Drosophila melanogaster: one gene and its partners. The protein of the gene in region 2 interacts with the protein of the main gene of each other region in a pairwise test. Each region holds a gene or a part of one and is shown on either strand. Other genes may lie near its edges. The genes, in order: eIF2D, Dus1, gdrd and CG34149.

Region 1 (8,601 bases), on a different chromosome or scaffold from region 2:
TACATTACATTCAAAACCAAACTTAAATATGTTGCCTAATCACATTCGAAATATTCGCACCAACAGTCTTTTACAACAATTACAAAATACAATGATGACAATGCTAAGAAAGAAATTACAGATTAGCAAATTAATGGTATATTACTTATTTTTCCTTTTCCAGCAAGGCAATAATTTTGTTTAACTTTTCCGTCTGCTGGGCCTCGAAGTTGTCCAGTCTCTTAGACACTAACAGCGTCAGCTTCTCAAATCTCATGTCGATGTGCTCCTTGAGGATTGCAACATCGGTGGAAGGCGGTGCAGTCTCTTGGGTTTGGTCCTTCGCCTGCGGGGAATAGCCCTTCATCAGGCTCATGAACTGCTCGAACTTTTCGGCCTGCTCCTCCTTCTTCAAGGGACTCGTGCCACCCCTTTGCAGCAGCTCTTGGATTCGCTGCGCATCCATTGGCCTGGGCAACTGGGTGGTTATGCCGTTGGGATTCGGCGCCACCTGGAGCAGGGCTCCGTAAACGCAGATCTCGCTGGCCGAGGTGAGCATCTTCAGGTTTATGTCATTTATCCCGGATCGGTCGATTTCCATGTCATAGCGATAGGGTCGCACCGCAACCTCTGGGTCCTCATCGTCGACGCAAGTGCCGTAGATGGTCTCGCAGTACTCCTGCAAGGGTCCAATGAACAGCTCCACCTTGGGAGCGCTGCAAATCAGGGTGAGCGCGGCGATTTTGAAGCGGTTCGGGATCTGGAAGCGCAGCTCACAAGGCGGCGGCGGATCCGCCGACTGCATGGAAAACAGCACGGCGCGATTCTCGTCGATCACGTCGTCCAAGTCGGGCCTGCGGACAAAGGAGGTTTCAAAATTACTTGATAAAAACCAGTTTCGGGGCGTGGAATCCTTTGTCTCACTTCACAAAGACGTCTTCGTCGGACAAGCGGGTGGCCACCAGTTGGTCCAGCCCGTTGCCCGACAGCTGGGGCCAAGTGCAGCGCGCGGTGACCTTTTCGCACATGCTTTAAGTGACAAAAAGTTGGAATTTATGGGAGCAAAATTTAAAAACAGCCAAATTTAAAAACCAAAACACGAATATAGTGATGACAAACGCGAGCGATAACATCTGCGCGGGGGATGCCAACCTGTTGCACAGCGCAAACTAATTGGACATTTGAAGGTAGCTTGACGCGCTATTCCAATAAGACCATACTCCGGAGTCCAATCAGAGAAGGCACCGCATCTGCGCACTACGTTTTTCCAACAGAACGGCAATATCGCGGCCTGACAGCTGCGACCTTGGACGGCTCCCTTGTAGGTCAAACTTCAGCAGAATTCCCACATATTGCAGTCGCAGCAAGGCGGCAGCTTAAGAACGAGTACACAATTATCCGCAGAGTGATCAACGCAGCTAAAATGGGCGGCAAGTACAAGATCGTGATGGTGCGCCACGGCGAGTCCGAGTGGAACCAGAAGAATCAGTTCTGCGGCTGGTACGACGCCAACCTCAGCGAAAAGGGTGAGTGATTACATCAATTTGAAATTTAAACCTCATATGTGGGATTAAAAATCTGATGTACATCTAGTTTCCAATCGATGATCCTTTGCTTTGATCAGTTTCACAATAGTATTCCTTTTCATTTACCCAAATTAATCTTCATTGACCTAGTGCAACATTATCTCATTCAAACTTTTCTGTGATAAAAATAGGTCTCTACAAACAAAAGCTTTCCAGTGCAATTTTCAGAAGCATCAAAATTCTAGTTTGTTACACTTTAAAGTCAAAAATTTGCCATCTCATATGTTTCTAAAGTTCAGATTATGCTTATGAGCATAATTTGATAGGTTATCGCCTTTTTTTAACCCTAGTAATCAAATTAAATTAAACGCATGCCTTTCAATTAGATTAAATTGGCTTACGTTCGTTACCCAACACGGCGTATACTTAATGTTCGCTAAACATTTGCCCAAACAGGTCAGGAGGAGGCCCTAGCCGCCGGCAAGGCCGTCAAGGATGCCGGCCTGGAGTTCGATGTGGCCCACACCTCGGTGCTGACCCGCGCCCAGGTGACGCTGGCCAGCATCCTGAAGGCCAGTGGCCACAAGGAGATCCCCATCCAGAAGACTTGGCGCCTGAACGAGCGCCACTACGGTGGACTCACTGGCCTGAACAAGGCCGAGACCGCCGCCAAGTACGGCGAGGCCCAGGTGCAGATCTGGCGTCGCAGCTTCGACACCCCGCCACCACCGATGGAGCCGGGCCATCCGTACTACGAGAACATCGTCAAGGATCCCCGCTACGCCGAGGGTCCCAAGCCCGAGGAGTTCCCCCAGTTCGAGTCCCTCAAGCTGACCATCGAACGCACACTGCCCTACTGGAACGACGTCATCATTCCCCAGATGAAGGAGGGCAAGCGCATCCTGATCGCTGCCCACGGCAACAGCCTCCGTGGCATCGTCAAGCATTTAGACAGTGAGCATGGGAGACATAACATATATCATATCATCTTTTTACCATATCCTTGTCCAATCCAGACCTTTCTGAGGACGCCATCATGGCCCTAAATCTGCCCACGGGCATTCCGTTCGTCTACGAGCTGGACGAGAACTTCAAGCCGGTGGTGTCCATGCAGTTCCTCGGCGACGAGGAGACCGTGAAGAAGGCCATCGAGGCTGTGGCCGCCCAGGGCAAGGCCAAGTAAGCACGCAGGCCACACCTCATGAGAATCCACTCAAATACGGCACAAGTCAGAGCATTCTGATTACGCTTCTGTTCAAGATGTAGCCAATCCCATTCGTTGTTGTTGTTCGCGTAGCAGTAATTGGTTCATCCCCACTACAGTTAATAAATAATTTATTATTACACTCAAGAGGACAGGCGGAGGAGGCTTCATTTATTGTCCGGCTCACTTCTTCTTATTCTTCTTGCCGTCCTTGGCCAATTCCAGGCCCAGGATGCACTTGGGCGGCACCTTGTACGTTTCCGTGAGCAGCGTGTGCACAAATCGCACCTGGTTGCCCTGGATTTGCAGCTGCTCGTGCTTTTGGTGCGGCAGTTTCACCACACTGGTGCTGGCGGCGGCTCCCTGCTTGCACAGCTTGATGAACTCGGCCAGGATGATGCCGTACGCCTCGATGTTGCTGACCAGCGTCACCTTCTTGTTGCCCGATCGCGTGGCCAGGGACATCTGGATGAGGGGCTTCCCGCTCGTATCTTTGCCGCTGCACATCTGGTAGGAGTGCTCCATCTTGCTGGTGATGAGGGAGCACATCTCGCTTAGCGAAACCTCTCTGTTACCATACAGCTCGATCAGAGTGTCGTCGGGGCGCACCAGCTTGGTCAGCGGATGGAGGAGACCATGTTTGCTCACGTACTCCCGCACAATCTTCTTGATCTGACCCGCCGGGATTCCCTCGCCGCGCTTGTAATTCAGCTTGGTGAAGAAGGCCGCCGTAACATCGGTCACTATGTACATCTCCTTCAGCTCGGAGTGGAACAGGGGCGTCTCGGACGCCGCTCCATTAGCTTCGCTTGCCTTGACATCGGTTATAAAGTTCACCACTTCGGGGTGCTCCAGGTCCACAGATGTGATTTTATCCACTCCCTTGCTCTCCTCCCGCACCACAATGAATCCTTGGTCCACCATCTCGGCCAGAAAGTTGGAGAGCTTTTTGTAGCGCGTCTTCTTCAGGTCGATTTGCTCCGTGGCCTCCGTGACCACATAGAGTCTGTAGAAATTGCTCGTCAGCAGAGGCAGGGGCAGCTTCTTTCCATGGTTTTTCAAGGCGGAGAGGAAGGCATTCTTGAGTATAAGTTCTGGTGAGGCTTCCTCCACGGCTTCTTCGTCGGACTCGGGAGCTTCCTGGCTTTCCAAGGTCAGAGCAGCAGTTTCCGTTTCCAGTTCCTCGGTTTGGGCCACCGTAGCGAAGGTCACAGGAGCGGGAGTAGCTGGGCTGGCGGTCTTTCTCCTTTCCGTCTCAGACCCAAGAGCAGGGAAATCCTCGCCAGACAAGGCCTTTGTCTTGACCAGCGGGATTTGCTGCACCAGACTGGGCTCATGCGACCAGAGCTTGTCCCCAAAGAGGTGGAGCATCTTGATGGCCACACCGTGACCTCCGCACATGTACAGTTCATCGCTGGAGCGAGCCAACTGGCCCACGCCCACCGCAGATTTGTTGTTTGTGAGGTTTACGGCCACTGAAAAAGACAATGAGATCAATACTCGTTACCTGGGGAATCCCAAGCAGATACCCACTCAACTGTCCCTTTTTGAAGTGCCCGTACATGCTCAGTCCCACGCCCAGGGGCACCACTCCGGGCAGCATGAGATCCGCTCCGTTCGTCAGCTTGGGTAACACACCCTCGTGGGTGGTGAAATAGGGCAGGATGTCCGGAACGATCCACAGGGTGTACAGGGTGGGCACAAGTTGACCGCCGTCCAGCTCGAAGAACAAAGGCAACTTGTCCACGCAGTAGACCATGCTCTGAACACCGCCGTGCGTTAGGATCTTCACCTGGGTCACCGCCGCCTTCGCCGGCACCAGCTGATCCACGGACACATGGGGGAACGCCGCCTCCACGCGCTGCCGGAACTTCTTGCTATCGGATCCCTTGAGGGCAGCACTGCTCTTGGGTCTGTACGGCTTGAGAAACATCTGTGTTTGGTGGTGTGCACTTGAGGAGTTCGTGAAATGGTTTGGAGTGGCACATGCACAGTGAAAACAAACAACTGGCAAACGGGGGTGCTGCTTTAGCTATTTTCTCGCCAGTTTGTATATTTAAAAAAATATCAATGGGATTCGATATTCTAAAACCAAGTATAAGAAACATAAGAATAAGATGCAGAAAAAGAAATTAACATAAAATAAAGAAGTGAGTCCTGTCTTTTCTTTTCACAATAACTCTACCCTAAATCAAAATTAGTTAAGAGCAGACGTTATTACAAGGACAGCACGCGCAGTAAAAATGCCGGCGGTCCGGAAAATTTCGAATCACCAAGGACTTCCTCAGGTAGCAAACGACAGAAAACCCAGGATCTTGTAAGACGCCATTTTATTCAACAAAACATCTGCGTAACAATTCCCCGTACACGGCCTTGTGACTCGAAGATGCGTGTTTGATTCATAGTTTTAACTTTGTACTTGAAATAAAAATTAGTAGTTAAACCCCCGATATTTGAAAAACATAGCCCGGCCCGGTAACAAGATTCGATCCTAGTCAGAATCCGAGTCGGAATTACTGTCCTTGGCCGTGTCGCGCGCTTGTGTAGGTGGATCATAGATGTGGAGGCTTTTGCGCCAGATCTTCACGAGCCCATCGAAGGCGCGGCGGCTGTACTTTCCATACTTGTTCGGGGTGCGCGGATGATCGCGAGTCCGCTCGTCCTTTGGCACCATTTCCACATAGCGCTCGTAGGCGGCAGTATTCTTTCCGTAATCTATTTGCTTCTGCCTGCGACTTAGGATGGCGGGATCGGCTTCGGTGTAGGAGGATGACGATGAGGTGGAGGACGTGTAGCTGTTGTGGCGCACCCGTTTCTCCTCCTTGTGGGCGCGGAAGTTGCCAGACTTTTTTGAGTTCCTCGAATGGGGATTGTTGCCGCCTTTGGGCGCAGCTGCATCTCCGTTGGCCGAGGAGTTGCTGCTGTTTGGACTGTTGGAGCGACTGTTCTCGTTGCTGGGCGGCGTGAACGAGTGTCGGCGCTTGTAGGGCGTTTTTAGCTTCTCCTCCTTGACCAGGCGCTCGAACTTTACCTCGTTGACGCCATCCAGGAACTCAAATGCCATCTCCCGGCCCTCGCCATCTTTGGACTCCAGATTACCGTCGGCTGTCTCCTTTTTGGCCAAGGAACCGCAGCTGGCAGCGCTGCTATTCAAGGAACTGGAGGCCTGCACGTGCAAACAAGAGAATTAATTGTGTTCCCGATCGTAGCAGCCAACCTTCACTTACCTCGTCACTGTGGCCAAACTCCGCGCGGACCTCCTGGGCCCAGCTCTGCATGGTGGGCTTCACATCGATCGAAATGGAGGATGCTGAGGAATTCAGGCTGCCGGAGCCTTTCTGCGGTGTGTTCTCCACGGACATGTGCTGATCCTCGCAGAGCATGTTGTGCAATTATCTTTCGTTTGTTTACTGTGCTGTGTATGATGCGGTCCGCTGCTCCAGGATGTTGTCGCGGCGGTGTTTTGCGTTTTCTGCGCAAACCTTCGCGCGTTTTTTGTTGTAGATGCGATGCTCAGTGTGCCCAGAAGTGGAGGTGGTAAGAAGGCGGCAAAAAGGTACCACAACACAGAACAACCTGGTCACTCACAACTAATTTCAAACTATGCTCCAAATGTATTACATTTCATTTCAATTTTGTTAAAATTTGATGTCCAATACATATTTAAACATACAGAAAATTAACAGCGATTTTTAAATTGTCTGAGGGAGGCTCAAACAATATCGATGCATCGGTACACATCGATAGCAAGACATCGAGCAACCAACCATTACCAACACTGTCTGCTTACCGAGTGATTTAGCATTTTTTCGGCACAAAAGAAAACTGAAAATTAAAACGGTGCAATTGTTGGTTAGTACGCAAAAGAACGATTTGTTTTCATAGCAAACGTAAAGTTTTCGAGCCCAAGTTGAACATACGTCACTTTAAAATCCGTAGAACATATTTTTGACTGGAAACAACGCAGCTGGAAAATGAGTCTTACGTCCGCCGCGGGGATAATTTCCCTACTCGATGAGCCAATGCCGGATCTTAAGGTGTTCGCCCTCAAAAAGCTGGACAACATCGTGGATGAGTTCTGGCCGGAGATCTCGGAGTCCATCGAGAAGATCGAGATGCTGCACGAGGATCGCAGCTTCCCCGAAAACAAGCTAGCTGGCATGGTGGCCTCCAAGGTGTTCTATCACCTGGGCTCCTTCGAGGACGCTCTGACGTACGCCCTGGGCGCTGGTGATCTGTTCGACGTGAATGCCCGCAATGAGTACACGGAGACCATCATTGCCAAGTGCATCGACTTCTACATTGCCCAGCGGGTGGAGTTCATCGAGAACCCTAAGGAGGCGAGTGTCGTGGACGAGCGGCTGGAGGGCATTGTGAACAGGATGATTCAGCGCTGTCTGGACGACAACCAGTTCCGCCAGGCTCTGGGCATCGCTCTGGAGACCCGTCGCATGGACACCTTCAAGGACGCTATCATGAAGTCGGACGATGTGCGTGGCATGCTGGCCTACGCCTACAACGTGACCATGTCCCTCATCCAGAACCGTGGCTTCCGCAATGAGGTGCTGCGCTGTCTGGTCAGTCTGTACCGTGATCTGGGTGTGCCGGACTACGTGAATATGTGTCAGTGCCTCATCTTCCTGGAGGACCCCTTCGCCGTAGCCGAGATGCTGGACAACCTCACACGGTCCTCGGTGGAGACAAACAATCTGATGGCCTATCAGATTGCCTTTGATTTGTACGAGTCGGCCACGCAAGAGTTTCTGGGCAATGTGCTGCAGCACCTCAAAAACACCGCTCCTATCCCAACCGCCCTCCCCAGCACATTTAAGCCCCAGGGTACCACCTCCGAGGATGGTGCCAAGTCGGAGGGAGACAAGTCCAAGTCTGACGAGGATATCACAGAGGAGACGCCAGGTAAACCCGGTTTTCTAATCCAGTCCCTTAAAATACTTATAAATCGCATTTTATTCACCTAGCTGATGATAAAGTAGAGCGCACAATCGATTCCCTTAACGAGGTTGAAAAGTTGCATCAGAAGAACATTGAAAAGCTCATATCGATCCTCTCCGGCGAGGTTTCCATCGACCTACAGCTCCAATTCCTCATCCGCAGCAACCACGCCGATTTGCAGGTCCTTCGAGGCACAAAGGAAGCGGTCCGCGTGTCTATCTGCCACACAGCCACTGTTATTGCCAACGCCTTCATGCACAGCGGCACCACCTCCGACCAATTCCTGCGCGACAACCTCGACTGGCTGGCCAGGGCCACGAATTGGGCCAAGCTGACGGCAACCGCTTCGCTTGGAGTAATTCATCGGGGTCACGAGAAGGATTCCCTGGCTCTCATGCAGAGCTATCTGCCAAAGGAGGCCGGTCCAAGTTCTGGTTACTCTGAGGGTGGTGCCCTTTATGCTTTGGGCTTGATCCATGCGAATCACGGAGCTAACATTATAGACTACCTGCTGCAACAGCTGAAGGATGCCCAAAACGAGAATGTGCGTCATGGCGGCTGCCTGGGACTAGGTCTCGCTGGCATGGGCACCCATCGCCAGGATCTGTATGAGCAGCTGAAGTTTAATTTGTATCAGGATGACGCGGTTACCGGAGAGGCGGCGGGCATTGCCATGGGTATGGTCATGCTGGGCTCCAAGAACGCCCAGGCCATCGAGGACATGGTGTCGTATGCGCAGGAGACGCAGCACGAGAAGATCCTACGCGGCCTAGCCGTGGGCATCTCCCTCACAATGTTCTCTCGTTTGGAGGAGGCCGACCCCCTGGTGACCAGCCTGTCTTCCGACAAGGATCCTGTGTTGCGCCGCTCGGGAATGTACACCATAGCTATGGCCTACAATGGTACTGGTAGCAACAAGGCCATCCGCAAGCTGCTACA
Region 2 (9,302 bases):
TGTTGTGGACATTGTGTTATTGGGCCTGGAGATAATGGCTCTGATGATGATGATGATGTGTGAATGATGAAAGGACCTGCTTGACAGCTGTACATTACATTTAATGCTAGACCACGCCCTCGACGAATGATGCAATCCAGAAATGGGAAGAATTCATATAATTCCCAACCGATTTTGCAGCATGTTTTAATGGTTTGATTGCGGATTACAAAAGTGTATTAGGCATCCTTAAACAGTTTTGAAGTTGTAGCTTTAGAGTCCAATTAAATGTTGTTGCCTTTTTATTGTCTTCTTTTAAATTTGCACTACTTCACTTTGCCTGCCATTTAATATTGCATCCTTCGATTGGCTTATTTTTACGGACGAAGCTTTTTATAAATAATCTTCTCCACAACAGTTTTTTATGTTGATTTTGTTCTCTCCGTCCGTCACACACATACACACAATTTTATAGTTATATATTTTCATTTGTTGTTGCGAAGTACAAATGGCGCAGTTATAGGTTCGTACGTATATTTATTTTCGTTTTTCGCTTAAGTCCACTTTGTTGTTGTCGTCCCTGAGAGGGGGTGGTTACTCTGGCAGCGGGCGCAGAAAAACAGGATGTTCGCCACCCCCCTTTTTGCGGAATTCCTCTCTATGGTTTTCCTTCTCGTTTTGCTATTTGTTTGTCTCCCACACATACACAGAGACAGGAAAGCGCAGGGACGCAGGGACGCATAGCCGTCCCGAGGTAAAATAACAGTAGAACTGGCGAAGGCATTCGCGCTTACCGTTACTTGAGCGCACGAAAACGAACAACCGACTCCTTCGACCGACGCGACCAAACGAAACAACTCCGCACAGAGTAACCAACTTGGAAGCTCGTATCGTTGATTTAAAACGAACGGTGCTGCAGCACTCAGAAAAATAACGACATTAAGTGCAAAACTGATAGTGGAAACTGTAGTGAAACGTACTTCTTTATATATAATGCTGAATTCCATAAATTCGTATAAGTTTTATATAATATATTACATTTACATTTTCAAGTAGAATTTTTTTCAGTGCTCCCTTATGTTCGACCAGGTTTGACGACCATTTCGCATTGCTAAAGCAACGGAGTTGCTTTTTTCTGTTGTCAAACAGAAACAGATGGGTTTAAAAAACAGTGAACTATGTAAGCTAGTGTTCTAAGCTCAATTTCTCTCCCGTGGTTCGAAGTCGCTCTCAAACACCGAACCGAAAGCTTCGTCTGATTGAAAACAAAAAGCCTACCAGTTGAACGACGACGCTTTTCAATCTATAGTGGCAAGCAACCAGAGGAGGGTGAAAGGGAGAGTTGAGGACAGCTGTGTGCGGTTTTGCCGGTATTGTAAGTCATAGGAAAATTATTAGCGGGAGAGGATTTTCATTGGCCCACCAAGGGGGTTTTAAGAAAAAGGGCACCCACACTCAATTTACTTAAAATTCTATATCAGAATTTACGTTACAAGTCAAAGGCCTGAATTGATATGTGGCCAAGACATATTGTTAATAACTGTCTGCTTAGTTGCATTCAACGAATGTGGTAAACAGCCTGCCACTTATTATATTATCATTGTGTGTACCACATGTCTATAAACGTTGTCTCAATAAAAGTTAAAGCACTACTTTTGATTCCCAAAACTAACTAGCCATTTAGCCGAATGACTCACGCAGCCATCCCTAGGGACCCATATCACAGGAGGAAGTAACTATTTTGAAACGCTAAATGGAAATAGGAACACAGACGACCGCTAGCGATTGGCACGCACCTTTCATTTTCCAGCATAAGTTTGCCTGTTTTCGGATGCCACCATCATTTTTTATTTATTCCATCGGCAGCGGGGTCGGAAAGTAAGAGGGGTGTCCTAGGTGTTAGATGAAATGGAAAGTACACTCGAGAGAATATTTGGAGCACGTGCTGCAGCAAGTACATTTCAGCACTTGATGTGATTTTATTTACATGGAAGACGGCTAGTGAGAGTGGGTGTTCTTTTCCAAGGAAAGCCCTACGCAGACATGTTGGCGCCGGACCGAACGATTGGTAAATATTTATGCCCGAGATGCCCGCATCTAGAATCATCCACGGACGCCAAACTGGGTCAGCGGTCGGAAAAAGCGGGTGGAACATAAGCCCGGATAGAGACAGCGAAATATTGAGGAGGATAGTCAACCGAGGATTTATGTAAGCCGAACTAACGCCCTGGAATCTGCTGGAGCCAGGGTAATGACAGCTTCGATCCCGATTCGGCCTCTTAGGATGGGACCACAGATTCATGCAGATAGCTATAAAACGGTTGTTGAGACTGCTTAAGAATATATATATTTTATATTGCAAACTATTGACTAAAGTCAATATACAATCGGCAGGGAAAAAGTATAGAATATTGTTAAAGTAGGCGGGGCTACTACATTTTCATAAGGCACTGTTCGAAATTAGTTTTCTTGGAACGCTCAGAGAGTAAATGTTAAGCACAAATAATTTAGGCTACTGTAAGTTTAGAGCGACAAGATGATCGATATTTTGTCGCTGCCGCGGCGAAATAAGGTGTCCGGAAACCCGGCCCTGCTAAAGATGATCTCCTACAAGACTGGACTACCCATCAACAGTCTACCCGGATGGGAGCTGATCCCTCTTAATTGCAAGCTGCCAATGCTCAAATGTCCCGGCAATCAGGTCATATTCTCCAAGAACAAGATCGGACAGGACGTAAGTGCTACCAGTAGAAAATCAGCTAGAACCTTACTTTATCATCATCATTCATACATATCCACCAGTTCAAGAGCGGTAAACAGGAGTTTGAGTGTTCCGTTACCGAACACATCCCGGAGTACAATCCGCTACACGACTCCAACCTAAAGACGTTCTACTCCAATGAGCGTAATCTGAAGCGGTTGAGGGAAAACGGTGAGATAACGCAGGACAACGATGTAATATGCAATCTGAAGGACTTCAATCAGCATCGCCAGGAGCTGCACAAATCGCAGTTGTACTACATTTTGCAGGCATACAAGCGGCGCGAGTCGGAGCAATATGATCGAATGCTGATCGCCAACGCGGAGTCCATCACAAAAAAGGATCACCAGAATCTCGCAGCCCGTCACCAGTGCACTGAGGAGGTTCTTGCCAGAAAGAAACTACAGGAGCAGGAACGCCACGAAAGAAAGGTCCATCTGCTGAATATCACATATGAGAAGTTTAAGCGCTTAGAGAACCTGGCCACCATGCAGAATATGTTGCTGGAGCACCGCAAGATGCTGACAAACATGCGTGTAGCTGCCCACATAAGCATGTGCCAGGATTTGATGAGAAAGCTATTGATCAAACAGAAGAAGCTCTTCCAGTTCAAAAAGGATCGGTTCAACAAAAACATGCGAATCCTGAGGAAACAACGGCTGGTAAAGAACACTGAGCACCAGATTCAGTCGTGGAGGAAGCGACTTGATGAGCGAATTGCTAATCAGCGTAGGATCGAATACCTCCTGCAGGAGGTGGAAAAAGAGCGAGAGGCGTTTATAGACAGGCACAAGGCTCATTACAGAGAAAAGTGGCAACGGATTCAGGACGAGATTAAGGAAAGAGCTCAAAAGGCCATCACTGCTCGTCAGCCCAAAAGAAAGCGCCGCAAGAAGAAGAAGTCGACACTTCAGGAACGCAAGCCATCATTCTGCGATGAGTATCAGGCCACCTTTGAGGGATTGTTAGACAGTGATCTTTGTTACGCCTTGAATGCAGCCATTGCCATGGAGGGTCAGACCGCTCTCAGCTTCGCACCAGACGACCCCATCTATAAGGCGGCACAATATATACTGGACTACATAATTTCTGGTTTAAACGACGATCTCAGCGAGGATGAGTGTGCCTTGCAGGTGCTGATCTCGCGCATTAAGGATTTTGTCTGCGATGCAAAGAAATATGTGCACTACGTAAGTGTTAATAGCAGTCCCTCTTGACATACCACTAATTCATTCCGCCTGCAGAAAGCTTATCAGATCATTGGATTCGCCAGAGACCACAAAGCCATGGAAGTGCCTCCGTCGATGGCCAAACAGCCGAAAAACCACTCGCGCGCCTCCCATGTATCATTTAGCGGTGTAGCCAGCACCATTGGCGTGGGCAGCTACGAGATTCATCCGTTCGTGGACGTCCGCCCGTGCAGCGAACGTCGGGCCACTCCGGCGGGATCATTAGCCTCTCTGGTTGTCAGCCAGATCGGCGAACAGGTAATACAGGACAAGGTGCGCCTGCCGCATCTAAATCGCAACCAGATCGTGTTCATAGAGCACTACCTGGTGAAGTTTAAGCGGGATCTATTGGTGGGTCTGGACAAGCTGGTATTTGCAGCGATTCAGTGCCACTTTGAAAACCGTATGATGGAGGTACGAGAGGAGCTCCTTCTGCTTGACAGGAACTATTTGTTCGAGCAGATTGCCAGGGGTATCCTCAGCTATGCGGTTAATCCGCTCAACTATCAGTCGGTGCTTAAGCTGGCCGTGAGCGTCCAGTCGTGTGAAATCATCTGGGAGCTGCAGCAGACGATGCTCAAGCCAGGCATCGATCCCCGGGGCCAGAATCACCCAGTGTCCTGCGGCACCGAGCAGGAACGCGAGACCCTGGCTCTCTGCATACCCTAGGATCCTGTCAAGCAGACAGGGCAAGGAAAATTGATCTTAAAGCAGGATGCCTTAGCTCTGGCGGGAAGTAGCCCTAAAAATTACTTGTATATTTCGTTTCCGAGGCACTTACATACTTCAGAGTCCAGGAATATTCATTTTCAATATGATGTCCTAAATTTATGTACTATGTTTTCTTTTATCGTTTAAAATGCTTCCTTATAAATAAGTTGAGTATAACTTTAAAAATCAGACACCTGGATCCTTTAGTTAAAAACTCAAAGCTCTTGAGATTTAATCGTAGAAAACCAATAAATTTAGGTAAATACACTTACCCAAAAGTTTTTTGCAAAGTTTTTTCACTGAGTTTCATACGTTTTTCCTAGTAAACACTATTAATTTGATTTTTTATTCAAAAGCGTGGAAGCAACAGCTGGCAAAACACAAAACCAGGGCTGCGTCGGCTGATACATTTCGATAAATAGGTCTGCCCTGGTTATCGATATTATTCCCCGGTATGTATTGTACAAAAATTAATTCAACTTCATTCTCGTTTTAAACAACAGAGGCGTAATTCCTAAATTCCGTAAATATTAAAATGAAAGAACTAAATCCATTGGTATTGAAAATGTATTTATCTTTCACGTTCCTTTACAACTAACTCACGCTATAACTATTTAGAAAAATTAAACGGAGCTCTATAAGAATACATCATGGAGTTAAAAGGGGCGCCCGGGGCGCCTAGAAGGGGAAATGGAAACACTTGAGGAGGTAGACTGGCTGCGGCCGATACGGAGGCTTTGGTGCCTCGTTTCCGCTTCTGTTTGGACACAGGAGCTGGGTGAGGCTCTTCGCTGGACTCCGAGTCATCGCTCTCGCTGCTGTCATCTTCATCTTCGTCGTCATCTTCCTCGTCATCTTCTTCGTCATGATCTTTCGGCTCCACCTTCATCCTTTTCTGTGAAGACTTCTTTATCTTTTTTATTGACGCCTTTTTGTCCTTTTTGGGTTTTGCTGAAACTGGAGCTGTGACTGTGCCAGCAGGAAATCCAAATCCTTGCTCGCAATGAAAGGCAGTCATTTGCTGCATGGCAAACTCCACAAACGACTGGATGGCAATATTTAGATTGGGCGGGTTTGGACAGTTTTTGAGACCATGATAACTACCGGAGCAATTACGACATATCATCTGACACTGGAAGGAGGTGTGGCCCTGGAAGAGATTTTTTTAAATTGGGTAACATTCTTTTAAAATATTTACCTTCTTGTCGCATATGCCACACACATCCACGGTTTTACCCTTGTTTTTTTGCTTTCTGGCCTTCTTGTCGTCTTCAGGTTCGGTGCTTTCCTCCTCATCGGTAATGGTAAACTGGCGCTCCTGAGAGCCCATGCAGACAACATCCTCCTCGGTGTTCTTTTCCATCTTTTTACTCTTTGCCGGCGGATGACTCTGTTCATCATCGGTGTCGCTGTCCGAAGTTGAGGAGTCGGAGGACGAAACTGGTTTTACAGCCTTTGGTTTCGGAGTTGATGCTACAGGTGTTTTGATGGCCTTCGCTTTTGGGGACGGCACCACCACTGCCTTAGTGTTGACTACCATTTCCCCTGGTTCGGGTTCAGACTCCTCTCCCGAAGTAGATGACGACCTAGAGGAGTTAACCTTCTTCTTTTTAGGAGATTTGGGCTCCGCTTTGACAAATTGCTTTATTTTTGACTTGTGCTCCATTTCTTTCTCCTTCTTGATATTGATTAGCGGCACAGTAGGTTCTTCTGGCGTAACAGCCACATCAGGTGGTGCAACAGATACAGGTGGTGGTGGCGTCAAGTCCGCAGCGAAAGTAACAGGTGGCAGGCTCTCCTGTCTGAGAGAGGAGGGAGCAGGCGAGGATCGAGGCAGAGGTGGGTCTTCGGTAAAGTCCCCCACATTATCGAAGTACAGCATGTTACTTTGGCCAGGACTAACATGCTGATCCTTAGGTTGCCACGAGTTGTTACGGCCACCACGCCTATTGGAATCTCTGCCGCGGTTCCCTCGCCTGCCACCCCAACCACCACCTCCTCCGCCACCGCCTCTATTTCTTCGGCCCCCTCTCTTGTTTGGCTGATGATTATCCAGCTCCTGTTGGGGATCTCTGAACTTGTTAAACGCGTTTCCATTCTGCCCACCTTCCGATCCAGCGTCTGGCCAGTTTCCATTGGCGGCGCGATTTTGGCTGTGGCTGCCTCTTCCCCCGCCTCCACTGCTGCGCCTCTGCTGATTGTTGCGGCCGTAATTCGAAAACGGTTTTCTTTCCTCTCCTGAAAGGTTCCAGCCGGATTGTCCTCCACTGTTGTGCATTATGGAATTGTTAATATTTATAAAACCGCCTAGTTGCGGCGCACGTGTTGAGCCGATTGGGGTTATCGATAAGATCCGATTGTTGGTGGGACTGCCGAAGTGGCTTCTTTCAAGCCAAAACTGCTATTCATTATATGTATATTAAGTTTGAATACCTTATATATAATATAATATATATATATAATACTGTGACAATATGTGACATAATACATGTAATGGACTAAAATGTGAAGTGACCAATGGAAGGTTTTTATAAGATTTAACATATATAGCTAGATTCGATAGTTTCTCAAACTGGCACCTCAGATGGTCAGATGGACGATATTCAGTTTAACCACAAATAACAACGCTATGAATTCTACCAATCCGAAGAAAACAGAAGATAATGATCGCCATGAACGTCAATTGCAGAGCCGCACCAAGGACTGGGGCAAAACCAAGTTCAAGCCAAAGAAGTATGTCCAACCGAAACCAGCGCTCGTTCCACAAGCTACTGCGACGCCCTGGCAGCATGTGAAGAACGACATAATTACGGATTCTTCGGACCGGGGACACCAGGATGTGGACAGCGAGGACGCAAGGCAGTTCATGCAGCAGCGTCAGAAGAACCACCGTCGAAATGTCATAGAAGCCAACCGGTCGCAGGATACTACATGGGAGCCCTTCAACGATGAGAAGCCCTCCACGGAAAGAAAACAACAGCTCTCCACGGACGTTGAGAACTTCACTTTTAAGGAGCGGAACTTTTTCCGAAAGCAACTCACTTTGGGTTTCAATTTAACGAAAAAGAATGCAACACTTAAATCTGCCCTAAAGGACTTGAAATATAGACAGCTGACAAAGGACAAGTTCGAATTAGAACGTTCGAATCATACACGTCGAAATGTGAAATCATCAAATGCGAAAGAAGCAAAGGGTAGCCATCCCTTTCAGAAAATGCGAGATAATGCACATCCTTATCGAAAGAAGGGACCAAATAGGAGAAATCCGTTTCAGAAAGGGCCACATAATGAATAAGTTTAGCTTATTTTCCCTTAGGTGACTTCACAACCCCAACTGGCAAAACATGAAGTTTCAATTAAAAAATAAATAAAAGATTCTTTGTCGGGTGACAAATCAGAAATGTATACACAACATTACTACACACTTTATGCAAATCTTAAAAATAGTGGTACAAATACATGTGGAATAGGTCGGCGAAAATAAATAAACTAAACAGAGTTCGGCTCCTCCTCCGTTGGGAGGAGCAAGAGGAGATTGAAGTGGCGCTCGCTGCGCCATGGTTCCAGCCAAAAATCGTCCAAATGAAATCTCAGCCATGTACATTGGCAAGCTTGGCGATGAGGTGGTTAAACTTGCCGTTGGTGGTCACAGACTTTTTGGCCGATCGCACTTGTTCCGGCGAGTGCTGCAGAAAGTAAACGACGATAAATTCGAGTGTTTGATTGGCTTCCTTAGGGTACATCATGTTAAAGGTATAGTAGTAGCAGATTAACTGGGCCAGAATGTCCGGCAGGTCTTCGTCTTTGGCGGCGAATGTGGCCATTATCTGGCCTTCAATGTAGACCTTCGCCTCCATTTGCGATTCCACGCCGTCGGCCGTTGTTATGGGTGAATCTGTGGGAAGATAAATATTTTAAAAGTATTTAAACACTTTTAGTGATATTAATTTTTGTGTACTTACTGACTAGAGCCACCCAGGGGGCGTTTGTGGGATTCGTGCTTTGCAGTGATTCCTTGCTAAGGGAACTGTTCTCGAGGTGCTTGAAAATGTAGTCGGGATCCTCATTAAAATAGTACGCTATGCCACGCAGGAAATTAGCGTTGGTCTCGTCCAAAGAGCTGATCTTCTTGTTCTTTGAACTCTTAAAGAACCTGAAAAAGCGATCCTTTTCGGTAGCCAAGCGCTTCTCTAGAGCCCGGGGATCGATGGACATAAGCAGCTCAAAGTGCTGGTACAGCACAGCCTTGTCAAAAATATATGGCCAATTGTCCTTAATGGCCGTTATATCTGGGATCTTTTCGCTGTTATTAAAAAAGGAGCGCTGCAACGGAAAGCACTCTTTCATATATTCGATTATGACGGACTGTTCCAGTGGGGAACTGCCTCGGTAGCTGGAGATTAGTAACTCCTTTTTGTGCTCCAGATCCCTGTTAAGAGCCAGCGATTTTGCATCACCATTGGAAGCACCACCTCCGAATTTTCGTTTTTTATTAGGGATGTGGATCTCAAAGGTTCCCGAGCTGCCGCGTTTCTGGGGTTTGTTTAGGGCATTGTTACGGTTGATCATCTTGGATATGAGCGATTGCGGAGTGGTGGCTATAAACTGTCCCTCGCGGTCTT
Region 3 (3,045 bases), on a different chromosome or scaffold from region 2:
TTAATGCCGCTGCAACGGCATTTTATGGCAAATTATGTTTGGCTTCATTTCCACTGATAAGTATCGGACTTCAGCTTTCTGTCGAAATTTATCGCATATAATACGTTTTGCCAATATCTCGAGCGGCAGACGACGAACTTGAAGAATGTCCTTTCTTATTTATTGCTTTTAACATATTTGTTTGGCTCCAAGGCAATTCGTCTTTCTATGTGAATGTGGCGAAAGGCAAATGCAAATTTCAGTCTCAAATTTTCCGACTTTGCAAAGTTTTCGACAAAACAAAAGGCCCCCTGACAATATGCAGCTGCTCGAAATTGCTTGGGGTAACATTTTTGAAGGGCGGTCAATGAAAAGTTTATTATGCGCCGAAAAGAAGTCCACAAAGTTTGTGGACCGAATGAAAGCAAGTTTGGCAATTGTGTGTGGAGGGCCACTAATAAATTGCAAATATCGTTGAAAATAGTTTAGATTATGGCGATAAGGGCAGTATACAATGTATTGCTTTTGCTCATTGCTCAGTTTATTATATGCGCTTAGTTTTCGAATCCTTGGCTTGTGTTAATGCATAATTTTTTAACAATTAACTCGGGTCTGTTTGTGATTTGTTAAATGGGCTTCAATAACAATAACAATAAATAAATACAATAAATTTATACATTTTTGAAAATGAGAAATATAAAAATGTTCTTATATCATTGGTTGGTGGTTTCGTTTTCTTGTTCGACGTTTTCAAATCGCATTGGATTATCGCCTCCAGCCAACTGGTCGGCGTTTTCGCCAACAGGTACGGATGGAATTCGAGCATGGAGCTTCCTCTTCATCTGGACCACGGCAGAGTTGGCCATGCTAATGCGATTAATGATTCGGTTCAGACGCTCCTGAATGTTCGAGAATACCTGCTCGGAGAAGCGAGCGTCCTCAGAGGTATCGAGAGGCCCCACTGCAGTTGCTTCGTCACTATTGTTTTGGCTACCTTCTGTATAGGGCTCGTAGCTTTCAAGGTCTTGGAATATATCAGATCCGTCGTCCGACATTTTGACAAAAAAAATATATTTCAGAAATTTCAATAGTTATTCAGGAGCTGTGAACTAGAACAGACTTAAGTGCAAACAGATCAAAGACAGAATTTATACTGACAACAAAATCGAGAGCAGCATGTTTGATATAGTAACTCTATACAATAAACAATAGTATTAATCCAAACTCCATAAATATGAGTAGATGGTCACAACGTTGAAACATTTTTAATTAAGCGACACATCAAACTATATTTTTTATTTAAAACCAACGTTTTAATTATCTTCAAAATTAAGAATAGACGGATTTAAAACCTCTTAAGAAATCGCAACCCACTTGGCATGTAATCATGTGTGAAATGTGTTCAGCAGGGTCATAAAATCAGAAATCAATTAAAGCAATTTAAGAGCGAGGAGAGCAAACGATACGGATATGGATGTCGAGAGTCGAAAGTTGCCAGGGCACAAGGCAAATAAATCTCTGAAACGACTCTGCCAAAAAGGACGCACTTTGGGTGGCAGTGAGGATAAAAGTTTCCCCACAGCTGAACGAGGCGAACGAAATCAAAGTCTATAACTTAACGACTGCAATGAGAATGATGCTGATGACGATGTCGACGATGTGAAACGCCCTCAAGGTCCACCCCATTCCGTCCACCCGTTCCACCCACAGCCCGCCACCATTCGAGGAAAATCCGTACGCAGAAAAAGAGAGACAAAAGCCGAAAAGGGAGGAAATGCAGCATTCATTCTCTCGCCATTTTCCCCTTAACCCTCCCCTTTTCCCATGGCTCTTTGCCATCATTCTTTCAGTGAGTTTTTCGCCTCCATGTGCTAAATATTTGCCAGCCATTTCTTTATTTTTCTCTGGCCTTTGTCGCCAAACTGGATTCCCATCTTGATACCCATCGCTCTGCCACATCGTAATAAAGCAATAAATCTGCTGAGGAACTGCTCCTCATAAATTCCGTTACGCATAAAAACACTTACAAATGACTTTTTGTTCAATGGAATAAATGGCATGGCACTACACACATACTAAGATGTATATATGGAGCTGTAGCTGCGAATGCATGTTCATGACTGCACCAAGTTAAATTCACACACTTGGCTTTCTATATCTTCCGGGATTCGCTGAATCCTCTATTGATAATGCCATTTGGCATTTGGCTTGTGGCAAGGCTTTGACTTTTGCGACGTCTTTCACTTTATGGGCTTTCTATTGAAAACTCGTTGCGCTGCTAAGTAGGCAACATTTTTCAGCTCGCTCTAGTTTGTTCGCTTGTATCTTCGGGCGTAATAAACTACGGGATAAATTAAGTTTTTGTAAATAAGTGTAGGAATCTGGTGAAAAAATGTTGTAAAGAAATCCTGTCACTGAAGTTAAATTACAAATTAAAAATAAAATGTACTCGGAATAAATAAATAGTTGATTAAGAAATATAAGAAAGCCATACGTTTAATATTTAATATTTACAATACCCAACTCATTATATGTTATAACAGTTAAAGCTCTGTTTTTTATATTTCACAGAATCATAACATAAAACTCGTTACGAGTTTTATCGACATTTTTTTACGCACATATTTCACATTAAATATTTAAAATAACAGCTCGCGATCAATCTAAATTAGTAGAGATGTACATATGAAAAAACCCTCTAAATCCCTACCCTTGTTTATGCCAAGTGGTCTCATGCTGTTGCCTAATCTGCTGTCCAAATCACTCTTGCAACATGTTGCACGACCAACTAATTGATGATATAATTGAATGTTCAGAGACCATTTCCCAGTTCGTTAGGCTCTGGCTCTCCACAAACCATATCCCATATCAGGAACAACATCTGTCAGACCCATCACAATAAATAACCATATAGTTATAGTTGAGTTTCCTGCATTAAAACGCCATCAAGCTGGAGATTAATGTGAAAAGGTCACGCCCAGCTCCTTGGGAGGTGAAAGCCATTCACTTCAGCGAGACATTGACATTTGCTACTGGCTTTTCCTTCCCATTTCGCCACATCCTTTG
Region 4 (7,849 bases), on a different chromosome or scaffold from region 2:
CGCTAGCCATTTCGTCTTCCTTCTCTAGCAAGAGCCGCACTTGGCGATTGCCTTCATCGATGTCCATTTTAAAGGCCACCCCAACATTCCCATCCCGGATGTCATTATAGAGCTGTGCAGCTTGCACGCTCAGACGGCTTGGCATAATTTCGGTCTCAAGACAGGAATCTCGTGATGCCACTTTTTCATGGTACGTCTCCTCGACGTCGTAATCGTTTACTTCTGTCCAATCGTCCATAACCTTGAGCTGCTTAATGTTTTCGTTCCCCGCCTCCGTCAATATCTTATCTAAAGCAGTCCTCAGTTCGGGAAGGCCTTGGTCCGTTTTTAGCTCGTCCCTTTCATGGTTCAGTAAATGTGAAATGGATGAACTGCTGTAAAAGGAGTAATGATGAGTTAAGGGTAATTTGAACATTAAAATCTCTTACCTTAGATCCGGGTGGTTTCTCAGTGCCTCTATCATCAGTTCCGGCGGAGCCTCACTTTGGCATATAAGATGGATGGCCGTGAAAAGCGGAAATCTATAGTTTTAGAAGTATGTTTATTAGGGTCTTAAAATCTAGTTTATACGTACTCGTGTTGCATAAGCCCATTCTCCAAAAATGCATTCACATTACTGGCCACCATGGGACCCAAAAGCTTGCGGCCACTATGGAGGTTTGCTTCTATTTCTTCAATGGTTTGGCCTGATGTTACTAGGCTCTTTGCAAATGTGACGTTTTTATCGACTTTAAATTAGCGCAGTTGATATTATACACTTATTAATTGATTCATTTTTCTTTGTACATACCAAAGCTGGAAGCCACCGCGTTGGTTACGCCACAGCTCTCATAGAATGTGGACATTTTGGAGGAAGGAAAGAACGTCTTAATGAACCGCATAATTTCCTTGACACCCAAGTGGATGGCTGCCAACCGTGCATTCTCACCCAGACGCAGACCATCTATGAAACCCGCTCCCAAGGCAACGACGTCTGTGAGCGTTCCACACAGCTCTACTCCGTCAACGTCATTAACAGAAATAACTCTGCAGTTATTGGTTTGCATAGCAGAGATCAGCAGCTTGGAATGAGAATTATCGCTGCAACCGATGGTCACCTCACACAGCTTTCCCTGTGCCATCTCCATGGCACTATGTGCAGACATCATAGAGTAGCACGGGATACCCAGACTCTCGCTAATGGCGTGCGAAACAAGCTCAATCCCCTCCCCATTCTCGCTCAACAATCCTTTGGTCATGGAAACAGCAAAGGCCGACTCCTTAACATTACCAGACAGAATGTTGCAGTAGGATTGCACGAACTCCAGCGGGGTGGAAAATACCAAGATATCTGCGTTCTGGGCAGCTTCCAAAAGATCATTTACAGCGATCTAATACAAAAATATTTTGTATAATGCAGATACCAAAACACTGCAAGAATTTCCTTACCAGGTTATTGGGCAGCTTGATCCCAGGCAGATACTTGACATTCTCGTGACGAGTGTTTATGATCTCCGATAGGGCAGTGTCCCGAATCATTTCATCGTAGACATATAAATGCACCCGGCTGTCGAAGTCTCCCTCCAAGACATTGTTGCTCACGACGGCGGCAATGGCCGAGCCCCTAGAAAAGCCATTTGAAAGCAGTTAAATGTGTTTTAGACTTGGTAATTGAAAGAACTTACCAGCCCTCAGCCCCAATGATGCATATTTTCAACTTTCCGGCCATTGATCCAACTTTAAATTAACGAACAACAATAATTTAGGGCCGAAACGCGACCAAATGACCGCCTAAGTGTTAACTGGATGTAGAATGCTTTAAATTTTTATTATGAATTTTGATAGTCCAGAGTTAGGTGGCGTCCAAATGTGAAGTGTATAGGATGAGTTAAGGTAGTTGAAAGGCAAACACCCAACCTACTTTACGAGCAGGGACGAAACTCGTAAACAACCCCGGACGCATTATCCATTCTGTTCTGGGCCCGCATTTTGTGCTCCTGCTGGGCCTCCATTTCTGATATGGCGCGGATTTCGAACTCGGTGATTATCTGGGAGATGCGGCTCTTGGCTTCCGCCGCCAGTTTGGGTGGCAAGCCTTTGACACTGATGCAGGCGCTCTCAAAGAAAAGATCGTAGCTGTTTCTCTGAGGAACAGGGGAATCAGCCGCCGGTGGAGCTGCATTTGGTGAAGTGACTTCATCTCGCTGGGAGCTCAACCTTTTGAAGTACGCCGACAGCACTTTACGGTCTTGTTCGATGCTCTCGACAAGTTCCTGGCGGTTCTGCGGCGTTGGCCTTGAGTAGGGTAGCTGTCTTTTCTGTAGGGCTACGTTGTTCCGTTTGATGAGTAGCAAACTTTTCCTCTCGGTCTGCAAATGCATAATTTCGTTTAAATATTTGTAAATTTAAGGGCAACTTAGTAATTATACCTCTATATGATCTTCTTTAATGTATGAAGCTTTCTGCTCTTCGTTGTCGCCATTTTCAGAGGTCGTTTCATCATACACATTTGAAGTGTTCCACATTCTTATGTTATGAATATTTTGTCACTTAAGCCTTTAAATTGCATTAGCTGCTTCAAATTTAATAAACATTGGAAGAAAACACAGCCGCGCTTTGGAGATGGCAGTAGCAGTAGCCTCTAGCCTATCGATAAACAGTCCGATACCATTTCTCGCACCTATTTTGAATAGTTTGATTCGTATATCTAACAAATAAAGTATATTTGCATTGATCTTATAAAAATCGATAACATTTATTTTTAAATTTAAAATTAATGTATGCCTCTAAATTCATGCTGAAGGACAAGGGATTGTCATGATGGGCGCAGTGCGAGCGATTCATTAGCTTGAGGGTTTGGATTCAGTGCGTCCGTTTGGCTGGTTTCACTGAGGCCGCGAAGCTCGAGCTCACAGATCAGCTGCGATACTCGCATCTTGGCTTCCGCTACCAACTTTGGCGAGAGGGCTTTCACGCTGGAACTGACGCTTTCGAAAAACAGATCCACATGATTCTTCTCCTTGGGCGGCGGTGTGTGACTTAGGGTCCTCTGGCTTCCCATCAGCTCGCGGAAGGATTCCATGAGTTCGTTTTTGTCCTGGTGGATCTGCATTAGTAACTTTATGCCCTCCTGCTTAGAGGCAGAAGAGGAGCTGTCACTGCAATTGGCATGGCTTGACGGGGGTTCGGTCATCTTTGTTGTGACCTCTGTCTCTGATAAGAACTCCTGTTTGGGTACTGTCACCTTCTCACTGGCTGCAGAACAGAGGCTTTGATCAGCAATGGCCATCACGGGCATAGGCTCTGGAGTGGAAGGCGGCTCCAACTCGTGGTTCTCAGCCAAGGGCTCCATCACTACCAATTTACGCTGGTGATAGTACTTGCTACGCTGCTGGCGAATCCGGAACTCCTGGACCGCCGCGCCTTCGCCCTTTGTGAGCAGAGCCTCCAGATTGCGCTTGTGCTTGGTGGTTCGCTCGTGCCGCACCAGGTGGCATCGATTGCAGTCCATGGTGCACTGGCAAGCGCGGCAGAATGGCTTGTTAGGATCCTCGGCCGCCCGTCGGAGCCATGGATCGAAAATCTTGAGCCACTTTTCGCAGAACTTCTGGTTATATTTAGGTTTCAGAGTTCTGTGCTCCTTGTCCAGCTTTAAAGATTTCTTAGCAGTCCGCGCCTTTAGCATTTTGTCTGTCTTCCTATAAGCGAAGCATTCGTATAGAATTTGAGAGTTTCCGGCCTCAAGGACTTACCATTCAGAATCGGAGGTGTTTTCCGAGAAGCTCATTTTCGTCTTTTCGAAGTTGTTTACAATGGGTTTGTTGTGATGTTGTGATTATAGGATCAGCTGTTTCAGGCAAGCGTCATCGGTAAATACTGGTTATCGATAACAAGGCGCGAAACTTTAAGAGAATGAATTATATTTACTTCGATTAATTCACCGAAGGCAAACAAACACATTTAAAAAAATAGAAATAATACTAATAGCTAGTACAATTAAGTTTATATAGGTAATTTATTTTGGGTGTATTTTTTTTAAGATATATACAACACAAAACATTTATATAGTAACATTTGTACAATATTTTTAGGTATTTACTTTATTTGTTAAAGGCATTTGTTGGTGGTCAAATTATGAATTTAATTTAAGTGCTGCTTACAATATTCCCAAATAAATAGTGATCCAGCCACATGTACATTTAGAGAGCGCACTAAGCCATACTGGGGAATTTCGACGGCGTAGTCCAAGAATCCAATAAGGTTCGCTGGTATTCCATGTTTTTCATGCCTGAGGAGGGATGCAGAACAATAAGTTTTCAAAAAATACGCCCAAGATGTTGATTACGAACCCCAAAAGAAGAATGCTTTTCTTGGGAAACTTAAAGTCAACAAAGTTTGTGCTGTGTGCAGTTTGCTCGGCGCCAACGATTTTATAACCCTCCATTTGCTTTTCCAGCAGAAATCCAGCAAGCGATTCTGGATTCACTTCAAGTATGTTTAAAGTTTTCTCAGCAGTCATGCTAAAATAATATAATTATAATTATATAAAGCAATATAATAGGGCTACCGCGATGTTTGACGTGCATACCTCAAGTTTGTAAAATCGCTTTTCTCCGCCTGTGATTTTAAACCCAATATTAGGGTATTAACGCCCAGAACTTCACAGGTACGCGCCAATCCGCCCAGATTTGGCAATTTGTCTATGAGCGAGGCCACCACAATGAGTTCGTGGTCATCTCTAGCTTTGTTCGAAACAACAAAGTCACTCTCCGGATATATATCTCCGACGGGATTCATTTTTCGCTGCACATTTCCGTTTAATGCAGCCAAGGACGTTGCAAGCTCAGGTATCAAAACCGATTGTTTCCGTTTAAACGTTTCAAGGGCGCGCTTTAGTTTCATTCGAAAGTCATAGGAACAACTAATAAAACTGATGTTTTCATCAAATGGTGCATTCGTCATCATCAGAATGCAATCCGAAACGGATGTCGGGCATTGTTTGCCTAGTTCTGGTAACAAAAGTCGAGCTTCGCACTGAAACTCAGTTAATTTTTCGCTCAATGTAACCTTGATGGATTTCTTCAATGCATCAGCTATTGGCATTTGAATGCTAAAAATATCAAAATATTAATAAAATTCGGCAACAAGTAGTATATAATACTAATTTCATTACCTTCGATCCTCGCACTCGCTACAAATCCGATGCAAAACCAATTGGGCCAGCAAACGAGTCTGAAAATTTGCTCCCATTGTGAGAGGCAACAGGACGGCAAATACTTCGACAAGCTGTTCATGTTGTATGCTTTCCCAGCGAGTCAAGCAGTATATGTGGACTACAGAGACAAGCGAAATTTGCTGGCTCGGTTTTAGAGTTGCCAGTAGCTTTAACTGCTCCAGCAATAGATCGATGCTTGGCAGCATTTTGGAGACAAGGTACTCGTACATAAAGCTAATGTTAGGCTGATCGCTAGGGCACAAGACGGCTTCCCACAGGTTGTCCGACCACTTCCATCTGTCGCTTAGGTCGAGCAAAGCTTTGCCTATTCGCATTTTCATTCTGTGCTCTTTGCAGTTTGCAAAATAGCGTGGTTTTTTTCTGGACAGCTCATTGTTCATTCTAAGCAAATCGTCACAGATGAAGCTGATATCCAAACCAGTGCTGTTCTTCGCATATTGAATAAATTGCACACGATCCATGGCTCCAGTATCCGAGATTTGCTCAAATGCGCGTTCAATGCTGCGGAGTTATTATTAACGTTGTATATAGTAATTTCACGAAAAAAATATTTATTCTCTTGCCGTGCATCGCCAGTAGTGGTTTCTCCCTGCAGCATTCTTTTTATAACAAACGAGGTGGGTGCCTTAATATATTCTTCACAGTCCATTGTACCCAAAAGAAAGGTGTTTTTCTCCAAAACGTCCACTACGCACTTTTCATACTCTTCTGACGAAAGATTTTGCACTGCATATTTTAGGATGGCTTGTCTGGGAATCAATGAATTAATAACTTGACTTACAAAAATATAGCGAATATATTACTCACGTTTCCCTGACCTTTAGTTTTCCCAAACGGGATATAAAGGCGGGCAATACATTTTGGTCAGCCAATTGTTCATCATGCGTGGACAATATATTCGACAAGGTGGCAAATGTTTCTTCAGTACCCCGATCCAAAAGTTCCAGGGGATTTAGGTTAAGTACTTCTAACTTGCTCCACGTTGGAAGATTTATCTGTACGAAAAGATCCACAGAGTGCTCGAGCACAAAGGACTTCTCTTCTCTGGTCTGGCAATCCAATCGATTAAGAAGGTGCTGCTGCATCTGCTCTAGACTCACACCACTTTCAAGAAAAGATGTATCTAAATCATAGACAGAGCGATAGAAATCTAAATACTGTTCTGGATGATCCAGTTCCCGATGCAGAAATATGGGTAAAAGTCGCCACCAGCCATGTTTGGATTTTGGAACTGTTCGTAATTTCTCCAAGAACGCAACAAATACATCGTGTTTATAGTCCATTTGAGATACAAGTTCACAGCAACGAATGTTGAAACTAGCAATATGTTTTTCTAAATTGCTGCAATTTCTTATTTTCTGTGCTAGTTGTGAATGAGATTGATACCGGTCGATGGTATTGTACAAAGACTCCATGAAGAGGAGGTAATCTCCCAATGACAGGCTGTCAATCGTCGCCTTTAATGGGATTAAAGTCAAAAAATTGTTAAAACTTCTATATAAGTTAAACTTACACTTAAGGAGAAAATCACATAATTGATGGCTTCACCACGCAAAACCGGATTTTGGAGGGAACGAACGCGAGCGCCCAACTTAAACAGCAGCTCCTTGGAAACCACCGGCAGCTGCTTTAGCTCCCATGCTTGAAGCCAGTGGATCAGGGGAACTGCATGCCACGGAACGCAGACAAGCGCTTCCAGCAATATCTCTGCCGGGAATTGTGCACTAAAATCAGTTATTTGCTGCTTAGTGAGGCAATCGGGCACCTCTGGATTGTACAATTGCGTCCGATTGGTAGCAGCAAGGAATTGTGTTAGAAGATTGAAACGCGATATCTGTTCTAGGCTAAAATGGGATAGGAAGTACTTCAGGGTCCAGCGCAACACGAGGATGTTGTTGTCGCCCAGGAGGCGTATGCACAGAATCCTTAGCCAATCCAGCCAATCCTCACTCAAATTGTTAGACATCAGGCCCATGCGCGGCAGCAGGGTGCTTAAAGTGGGCAGCACAAGATGGGACTGCTGCTCCTCGAGGTTCTCCATGATGCCCACATACGCGCTCCACTGAACCTCACTGCACTGGAGAGCGGCAAGCACTTCGTCGATCTCCTGCAGCTTGTGCATAAGAAAATACGCTGAGCGTCGATCATCGCGCACATCAGACTGTAGAAGATTCCGCGTTAGCACAAGCAGTTCCTGGGCGCATTCCGTTCCCAAGTTGTTGACGAAATCATCGAAAAGGTGTACCAGGATCTGGGCCGCATGTGGTTGCCGCTCATTGCTCTGACTCAGCGACCAGAGCTGCTGCAGCACGAACTTGGCTTCGATACGCGGAAACTTCCGTATATGAAGCTGCACGCAGACCAGTAAATTGGCCACCAGTTGACGCCGGCTGGCCGAATCCTCACGACTGTCGGCAATCACCACGGAGACCAGTTTGTGAAAAACTTTTGGGCCAAAGCGGACGTTATACTTGCTGTTCGTCTGCAACAGGTTGTGGATGCACTGCAGCACACGCTTCAGGGCCAGCTCGTTGTCTTTGTGCATGGACACCAAATCGTACAGCATGTCGTCCAGCTCAGCGATCTCGCCAAGCAAATTCTGGTTCTGAATATACGTTTCCACAGCCTGGACCA

Evidence for each region.
Region 1: the proteins of Dus1 (region 2) and eIF2D interact in a two-hybrid assay, tested with the Drosophila melanogaster proteins (one large-scale study listed by BioGRID).
Region 3: the proteins of Dus1 (region 2) and gdrd interact in a two-hybrid assay, tested with the Drosophila melanogaster proteins (one large-scale study listed by BioGRID).
Region 4: the proteins of Dus1 (region 2) and CG34149 interact in a two-hybrid assay, tested with the Drosophila melanogaster proteins (one large-scale study listed by BioGRID).

Annotation. Positions count from the first base shown.
Region 1 is NT_033777.3:29,147,048-29,155,648, forward strand, and holds eIF2D (eukaryotic translation initiation factor 2D), read right to left. Parts: upstream 4,748-8,601; 5' UTR 4,643-4,747; coding exon 4,243-4,642; intron 4,185-4,242; coding exon 2,893-4,184; 3' UTR 2,849-2,892; downstream 1-2,848. Other genes in the region: CG11882 (uncharacterized protein), read right to left, coding at 146-833, 904-1,007; Pglym78 (phosphoglyceromutase 78), read left to right, coding at 1,403-1,505, 1,962-2,459, 2,522-2,688; Slbp (Stem-loop binding protein), read right to left, coding at 5,201-5,875, 5,937-6,092; Rpn2 (regulatory particle non-ATPase 2), read left to right, coding at 6,684-7,626, 7,689-8,601.
Region 2 is NT_033779.5:266,677-275,978, forward strand, and holds the start of Dus1 (dihydrouridine synthase 1), read right to left. Parts: upstream 5,069-9,302; 5' UTR 4,953-5,068; intron 4,951-4,952; exon of another isoform or gene 4,639-4,950; coding exon of another isoform or gene 3,985-4,638; intron 3,931-3,984; coding exon of another isoform or gene 2,782-3,930; intron 2,714-2,781; coding exon of another isoform or gene 2,516-2,713; exon of another isoform or gene 2,412-2,515; intron 830-2,411; exon of another isoform or gene 13-829; coding exon of another isoform or gene 1-12. Other genes in the region: CG17075 (uncharacterized protein), read right to left, coding at 1-12; CG3345 (uncharacterized protein), read left to right, coding at 2,516-2,713, 2,782-3,930, 3,985-4,638; mbm (mushroom body miniature), read right to left, coding at 5,291-5,830, 5,879-6,958; CG11555 (uncharacterized protein), read left to right, coding at 7,310-7,975; CG17078 (uncharacterized protein), read right to left, coding at 8,271-8,575, 8,643-9,302.
Region 3 is NT_037436.4:14,689,418-14,692,462, reverse strand, and holds gdrd (goddard), read right to left. Parts: upstream 1,117-3,045; 5' UTR 1,035-1,116; coding exon 693-1,034; 3' UTR 501-692; downstream 1-500.
Region 4 is NT_033777.3:22,376,084-22,383,932, reverse strand, and holds CG34149 (uncharacterized protein), read right to left. Parts: upstream 3,806-7,849; 5' UTR 3,767-3,805; coding exon 3,732-3,766; intron 3,678-3,731; coding exon 2,795-3,677; 3' UTR 2,680-2,794; downstream 1-2,679. Other genes in the region: Gpdh3 (Glycerol-3-phosphate dehydrogenase 3), read right to left, coding at 1-374, 429-521, 575-728, 791-1,370, 1,429-1,603, 1,665-1,708; CG43342 (uncharacterized protein), read right to left, coding at 1,902-2,348, 2,409-2,504; CG18596 (uncharacterized protein), read right to left, coding at 4,120-4,267, 4,329-4,499, 4,568-5,089, 5,153-5,716, 5,779-5,964, 6,023-6,672, 6,729-7,849.